Linked DNA regions of Macaca fascicularis. The protein of the gene in region 1 interacts with the protein of each later gene in a pairwise test. Links are inferred from orthologs where the notes say so. Each region holds a gene or a part of one and is shown on either strand. Other genes may lie near its edges.

Evidence for each region.
Region 2: the proteins of DHX15 (region 1) and RBM5 interact in binary tests that used the Homo sapiens proteins (3 or more experiments, as listed by UniProt). The link is inferred for Macaca fascicularis from reciprocal best matches to the Homo sapiens genes DHX15 and RBM5.

Annotation. Positions count from the first base shown.
Region 1 is NC_088379.1:23,690,813-23,694,629, forward strand, and holds part of DHX15 (ATP-dependent RNA helicase DHX15), read right to left. Parts: intron 2,193-3,817; coding exon 1,757-2,192; intron 1-1,756.
Region 2 is NC_088376.1:113,111,702-113,116,036, forward strand, and holds the start of RBM5 (RNA-binding protein 5), read left to right. Parts: upstream 1-1,228; 5' UTR 1,229-1,336; intron 1,337-2,692; 5' UTR 2,693-2,745; coding exon 2,746-2,762; intron 2,763-4,308; coding exon 4,309-4,335. UniProt on the Homo sapiens protein: Component of the spliceosome A complex. Binds to ssRNA containing the consensus sequence 5'-AGGUAA-3'. Regulates alternative splicing of a number of mRNAs.

The DNA.
Region 1 (3,817 bases):
TAGATATAAAGACAAAGGTACAAAGTTTTAAACGTTGAGCCCACCAAAATCCACAACCCAACCCAGGACAATTCGCTAAACCTAAGTTTCTCATAAACCTAAACCTCATTTTGCTCATCCGTAAAGTGGTGATGAATATCTTCCCTGCAGGATTATAGAAAAATGTAAATAAGCTAATACACGTAAAGTATACAGTGTCTGGCTTTACCCAAATGTCAATTAAATAGTAAGTTCAGAGTTACAGTCTTCCATGTAATTTGAAAATTCTTTACATTTCCGTAAGGTGATTTTTGAACACCCTAACATCAATTCTAAGTTTTCTTTCATTAAAAAAGAAAAATTGGGAAGGCTAAGGCAGGAGGATTGCTTGAGCTTAGGAGTTCAAAACCTCAACTCTACAAAAATTTTATTTAAAACTTAGCCAGGCACTAGTGGCATATGCCTGTGATCTCAGCTACTTGGGAAGCTGAGGCAGGAGGATCCCTTCAGCCCAGGAGGTTGAGGCTGCGTTCATACCACTGCACTCCAGCATGGGTGAAAGAGACTCTGTCTCAACCACAACAATACAAAAGAAAAGAAAAGAAAAGAAAAGAAAAGAGAAGAGAAGAGAAGAGAAGAGAAGAGAAGAGAAGAGAAGAGAAGAGAAAAATGGTACGAAGGCTCAGTCTGTAATAAAAGCTTCCTATTTTTGTTGCTACAGTACCTTCAAAATGTCTATGCACATGTAACTTTAGAAAAAGATAAATTGTGTATGCAGTATGTTCAATCTCTGCATGGTAAGGCAGGTAATTATTAAATTAGCTTTAATACTTTTCTGATTTTTTCAAATTTTCTACAATGATCAGGGACAACTACTTTTGAAACCGAAAGAAATTTTTAATTAATGGTTCAGGCTTAAATGTATAAAGAGTTACTTCTCACCCACAGCAAGAAAATGCAAATTAAAAAGTACACTAGAATGCAATTTTTCACCTATTGGATTTGTAAAAATTCAAGTTCAATGATACGTTTTAATAGTTTCCCACGTATGTTCTCATACATGCTCATGGAAAAGTAAATTAATACACTCCCTCTGGAAGGCTATCCAGCTTTCTGTATCACAATTACAAATGATCTTCTGACCCAGCAATTTGATTCCTACAGAAACACTTGCCCATGCAAAACCACCATGGGAAACAGCCTAAATGTCTATCAACAGGGGTCTAGTTAATAATAGCCCATCCGTGTTTAAAAAATATCCTAGATATATTACAAATAAGACACTAGTAACAGTGTTTAGTTCTATGGGGGGGATGACTAGATGGACAAAAGTCACGAGTATAGACTTTATATCCTTTTAGCACTTCATTTTTTCGAAAAATAGATATTTGCATGGCTCAAGATACTATATTAAATACAAACGACAAAAATCTACCCCAGTGGTTGATTTCTCCACCCAAGCACCAGAAAATAAACTGTGTATCCCTAAATCTGTACTGTCCTAGAGTCAAAATGGGTGGGAGAGCATCACTCTGCCATACTTAAGGTAACAAAATTTGAAAAGCGAGCACCACTATTTTCCCCTAGACTCAGGGGAGAGAGGTACTCTCCATAGGATTTCCACTCTGAAATTCAGAGTGCCAATTAAACATCAAAGCAGCTATTCTTCAAGATGTTCCATATGACAGACAAGGGAAATGACCACCAGAATCAAATATGCAACATTTGCTAAACTTAAACATAAATAAAATATGTACCATGGTATACAGTAACTCACCTGTGTTGTTTTACCAGACCCAGTCTCACCAACCAGTACAAAGGACTGATGTCTAACCAGAATATCTGTAAACCTATCCTTGTATTCCCAAACAGGGAGCTGAAGCCGTTTCTTTAGAATATCATAGTATCGAGGAGTATGGGGTAAGTTGGTGAACGGATTAATGCACTGTGGAAGTGACGTGTGACCTGCATGTCCGGCGTGCGCTGAATGAGCAGAATGTGTCGAATGCGTTGAATGCGCTGAGTGGGTTGAATGAGCTGAATGGGAAGCTTTTAAAGGTGGTAATCCAGCACTGATAAGCATAGCATTCGTTGAAGCTCGCAACTCCTTCTCCTTTTCTTTCTCCCTCTCCCGCTCTCTATCTCCTCTATCGCGTTCTCGGTCTCGATCTTTAGACCGATCTTCACGATCCCGGTCTCGATCTCGATCCTTCCTAAAAACAAAAATTTAGAATTCAGATTCTGAATTTTAAGCAGAATGTTCATGTTAGTGTTATAATCACAAAGAGAGTAAATGTCCAACATTCAAGTGAGTAAAAAATCCAATGGATTATGTAACTATCAGAAATAATAAAAAAATACCCTACAATTAAGGGCTTCTCATTCTCCACCACAAACATCTTTCCCTTCCTTGCTGATGCCTCAGCTTCCTTAACTTTCAACGTAAGGTTACAAGAACTCAGTCTGCTGCAAGTAAAACCCCTCCTACTTAGACAACAGAAATCAGATACTGAGAGTAGGATGAAGAAAGGATAGGTCCAAATTGAGCAAAAGAAGATGGCATCTCAATCTTTCTCAAATTCTCCTTCAATTTGTGAAGAGGTATTTTTTGCACTAAAAGTATATTCAGAAGTTAGCACAAACACTGTTACTGGACATAAAGACAACTCTACCTCACATTACTACAGTCAACAGTGGTGGGTTTTGCTCAATACTTTTATAATCCACATTTAATAAATTGTTTTAATATTCCTTTCTTTGCCATAGGACAATGTTTGGTTGTAATGCAAAGTGAAAAGGGCATAGTACAATGTTATACATATCAATATCTCAACTAATACAAATATGAATTTCAGGACTGCAGAATTTGTTTTTTTAGTTATACTTTCCAGCACTTTCCCAATTTTGTTCAGTAAATGTATACTGTTTTATAAGAAAAACTAAAATTAAAACTTTTATTCCTTCTTCCTTGTTTACTCTTGCATTTTAACCTTAACAGCAACAGTAAAAAACTGAAAGCACTCTATAAAGCTATGTACCTTGGTCTACCATAAAATGAAACATAGTCAAATTAAAAATAAGCTTCAATGAACACTATTAAGTTGTTTAACATGTTAAAATTATGCAGGTAGCCACTCTATTAAACTTGGGTCAATTTTAAGTAGTCAATTCTGGTATCTACTTCCAGTTATTAGAGATTGACCTTAATAAGTCATTTTAAAAGTATCTATGCTAAGAACTTCACAAGCAGAAGGGCTGCATGTTGCTCATATGCGTTGTGGCTGAAAGCAGCCTCTGGGAGACTGGTGGTGGAAATAAAATAATCTAGGCTTGTTCATTCTACTAGTCCAGTTTACTACAGACCAACTACTCCAGCAGAGAAACTTGCCTCAAGATGTTTAAACCCAGACTTGAAATAATCAGGCATGATGGAGCTATGACACAAGCCCCTAAACATATCATTGTTCCTTACCCACAACACACAAAAGTACAAATTCCCTGTGCTCCAAGTACAGTTGTGTGCCATGTACAAATTTACTCAAAGAGAAGAAAAGCCAGATATATGCATATGTAAACATGAAAAGTGATTTTCCCCTCTTCTATCCCAATGTTCACCTACAAAACTCACAGAGCATACAAGCCAGAACTGTATGAAGCCTCTCATCTCACCTGGCATAAACAGAAAGAAAATCAATGGGAAAGAAAAGTCAACGGATAACTTAAAAAACATAAAATGAAGTCTCACAATTCAATACTTGAGAGTCTGGGCCTACCTTCCGAAATATGCCATCAACCATCTTTGCTTCTCCTGTTTCTGGCCTAAGGTGACTGTTAATTA
Region 2 (4,335 bases), on another chromosome or scaffold:
TATTGTTATTTTGAGACTGAGTCTTGCTCTGTCAGCCAGGCTGGAGTGCAGTGGCACGATCTTGGCTTACTGCAACCTCCGCCTCCCCGGTTCAAACGATTCTCCTGCCTCAGCCTCCCTGGTAGCTGGAAATACAGGCACACGCCACCACGCCCAGCTAATTTTTGTATTTTTAGTAGAGACGCGGTTTCACCATATTGATCAGGCTGTCTTGAGCTCCTGAGGTCGGGATCCACCCTCCTCGGCCTCCCAAAGTGCTGGGATTACAGGCTTGAGCCACCTCGCCCGGCCTCCTTTTTTTTTTTTTTTTTTTTTTTTTTTTGAGACACAGTCTTGCTCTGTGGCCCAGGCTGGAGTGCAGTGGCGCTATCTCGGCTCACTGCAAGCTCCGCCTCCCGGGTTCACGCCATTCTCCTGCCTCAGCCTCCCCAGGAGCTGGGACTACAGGCGCCCGCCACCGCGCCCGGCTAATTTTTTGTATTTTTACTAGAGACGGGGTTTCACCGAGTTAGCCAGAATGGTCTCGATCTCCTGACCTTGTGATCGCCCACCTCGGCCTCCCAAAGTGCTGGGATTACAGACGTGAGCCACTGCGGCCGGCACCAGCCTCCTTTTTATTTTTCAGCGACAGTTTCTCACATTGACCCCAGGCTGGAGTGCGGTGACGAGAGCACGGTTCACTGCAGCCTCGACTTCCTGGGCCCAAGCGAACCTCTCACCTCAGTTCCTGAGTAGCTGGGATTAGAGGCCCACGCCACCACGCTCAGCTAATTTTATTTTTTGTAGAGATAGGGTCTCACTGTGTTGTCCAGGCTGGTCTCGAACTCCTGGCCTCAAGCGATCCTCCTGCCTCGGCCTCCCAAAATGCTGGATCGTGGTTGAGCCACCACGCCACCCACGGTCTCCTTTTAATGTAAAACATTAAACAATGTTTTACACCGTGCCAGTGAAAGCAAACTGTACTCTCTATGGCGCTAGTAGCAAAAGCAAAGAATTATTACCATGCCTAATAGAGAGGAGCCCTAAAAACAAATCCAGGTCTGCAAAAGCCGATCGACAACTCTGTGGTGATTTAGAAGAGAATTGCAAGAAACACAGAGCGTCCCAAGTGACAAGGATGGTCTGGCGACCACATTTCCCGGCAGCCCTCGCGCAGCCAGGCCGCCTAGAGGATTGGACTCATCCGCAGGAGGCGGGTGACAAAGGGAGGGGATAGGCGTGAGGTACTGTGGGTAGGAGACGGCCGTCGGCGGAGGCGCCATTTTGTGGAGCAGCCGAATCTTGTTGGAGGTTCGGGGACGCAGAACCGCTACTGCTGCTTCGGTCTCTCCTTGGGGTAAGTGCGGTGGCTGTCTAACGACGGTAGGTTCTTGCCATTGGGGCTGGCCCCCAGGCCTCCCTTGTCAGCTGCCGGAGGCGATTGATCAGCTCCAGCCGGTTCTCTAGAGGGGCTAAATTACCCCAGGCGTTGGAGGGCCGCGCCCTTCCTTGTTGCCAGCTCTGTCAGTTTCCAGAGGTCGTCCAGCCAGCTCAGCCTCTGGCCTGCTTCTCTCTGGCTGTGACTTTGCCCCTTGTGGGTACACGTCCCCTAATCTCCAGCCCAGCGGAGCAGTGGAGCCGTCGCCTGTCCCTCTGGCCCTCCTCGGGAGCGCCCTGGCAGTCTCTGGCCGCCATCCCCCCTTAACTGCAACTGAATCGCCCTCTCCGAAAAGCTGTTCGGTGATGGCCGATCTCCGGGTTAGGAACCTCTTGGGAGGCGGGAGGGGTGTGTGCGGGGAGGGCAGGCCGGACGCTGGAGTCGGTCGAGCAGGCCGTGACGCCGCCATCTCTGCCGCGAGACCCCACGGAGGTGGGTGCCGGCACCGCCCGGGAGAGAAGGGGCAGCACCAGTGAATATGCCTCGGGACTTGTTTCCCCCCAGTGGTTCTTTTTCATTTATTAATTTCAACAAATCATTGAGCATACGCTCTATATTAGGCTCCAGAGACTACTGGAACTGATTTCTCGGACCTCGCGCTCATCGAACGCGGTCCAGCTGTGTGATGTCTCATTACCAACGGGGAGCAGGTGGGCCGGGCTCTTCGCCACTCAGTGGTTTGTAGTCATAAGAACTGACTCAAGACGTGGTGGTTATTGTTACCTAGGAATTAGGTCGTTTCTAGCTTTGCTCTTGTCTTATGCGATATGTTATTAATGTAGTAGATTTCAGTCAGCTCAGTATCCCAGCTTCTACGAGGTTTTAAATTTTTCATCAGAAATGTTTGAATTTCATGTTGCTCTTTGTATTAAATGAAGACACTTGGATTAATGTTTTAACGGTCAACTATCCCACTAGAGTTGCTTTGATACAAAACCAAAGGAGCTCATTGCAGTTCTGCCCTTTTTGCTTTGTAATTCTAAGGTAGGAGCAGGGAAGGAGTCTTCTGCTTGCTCCATATTATGATTCTGTTGTTAAATCTGGAATCTAATATTTTAAAGTATTCTTAATCTTCCGGTTTTGCTCATGGTTAACAAAATATTAGCATGATTTTAACGTTGACAGTTTGTCCCCACCACCTCCCTACCTTAGATAATCGCTGTCAGTGATTTGAAGGTTTGATGAACTCCCAGCCTCAGTAGTATCCAAGCTTATGGAGCTGCTCACTTAAGTGATCTCTGAGATTTACAGCAATTACTCTCTCTTGTCTCCTAGAAAAAATAAAATTTGAACCTTTTGGAGCTGTGTGCTAGATCTTCAGTGGGACAATGGGTTCAGACAAAAGGTAAGTTACTATAGTACATGACTTTGAACTCAACATTTCAGTGGGGACTGAACTCTTTGTTTAAAATAGTTTATCAAACTAATATGTGAGCGTTTCGTGCCGGGCATTGCTGATGAACACCTTTATGGTCCTGTTGTCACAAACTAACAGTCTAGTGAGAGAAAGTACTGTGTGAACATGCTGTGATAAAGTATAGGGTGCTCTTATAACACATAGGAAGTATGTCTTTTTCTTGATCACAGCCAGGAAAGCTTCCTGGAGAAAGTATTCTCTGGAAGGAAGCTGAAGGATAAGAAATAATTTTAGGCAAAGAAGGGCAGGGTAGAATGGGTCCCTGAGGGTTCCCTGTGTGGACAGCAACCTTTGCAGAATCCAGGAGATCATACAGTCTGGCACTTAGCACAGTTCCTGGCTGTGGTAAGCAATCAATGAATGCCAGTTCTCGTTATTGTTCCCTAAATAGCAAGATGATCCAGACTTAGAGAGCTGAGAAGCTTGGGACCGTGTGTTACATGAAAGAAAGAGCCAAAGAATTAGTGGAAAATTAAGATGAGAGCATTTGGCTATTGGGTACACACTCTCAGACCATTTGATTTAAACACACAACCTTACTCAGCCATCTGCCTTTTTAGTATTGAGGTCAGTCCCTGTGGTAGATCACATTGACAGGCCCGAGGGACCTTAGGAAATGTTCATGTCACATGGTGTTTTAATGCTATGTCAGCAGTCTGTGGTTCTAAATAGCTTATTAAATTAACATTTACCCCTTTGGGGTGTCTCAGTCCCATATTTCCCTTGATTCTTTTTATTAAATTTGTATAAATGAAGCCCTTATAAACCTTTCCTTTGCCACAGTTTTATGAATCTGGTAAAACAATTTACAAAAGACCTATTTTATCTGTGGTCAAATAGGTTTAAGCCCCTTATTATTAGGTTTTCTCATGAAGCCCAGTGCTGCCCTTCAACCAAAAATAAACCAGATGTTATAAGAAGAGTGTTCTCTTAAGGGGTGCTAGTTTTGGGTAACTATCCAGTTATATCTGACAGACAACTAAGTTGCCTGATGGGGAAAAAAAAGACTAACTTAGTTCATCCAGGTTTTTGGTCCATTTTCTAGTAGATATGATACTCTTGAGAGTAGATGAGCCAGGGATGTACTTAATTTCACCCTTTAAAATTGGGTGAAATTCAAGTAACTGCTTTTTTCCTGTTTTTGGTCTGAATCAGGGATGAAGGGATAATATGTAGACTCTAGGCTTGACAAAGTGCAAAAATAAACTTGGATAACATGACCCTTTCTTAGAAATATTCAACCCAAATGTTTGTTTCAAATTTAGCATAAATTCCTGACAATTATCATTACATTTAGTGATATAGGTATTTTCCCAGTGGTTATTTTAGTAAACTGGAATTTAGTAATACATTTTAACACTTTAAACTATTTGGATATATCTTATAAACTGATCTGTGGGGCGTGTGTATTTTTAACTCTTTTAAAGGTACAAAATGTGACTGACTTTAGAATGAAAATTATTTTCCCTGGCAGAGTGAGTAGAACAGAGCGTAGTGGAAG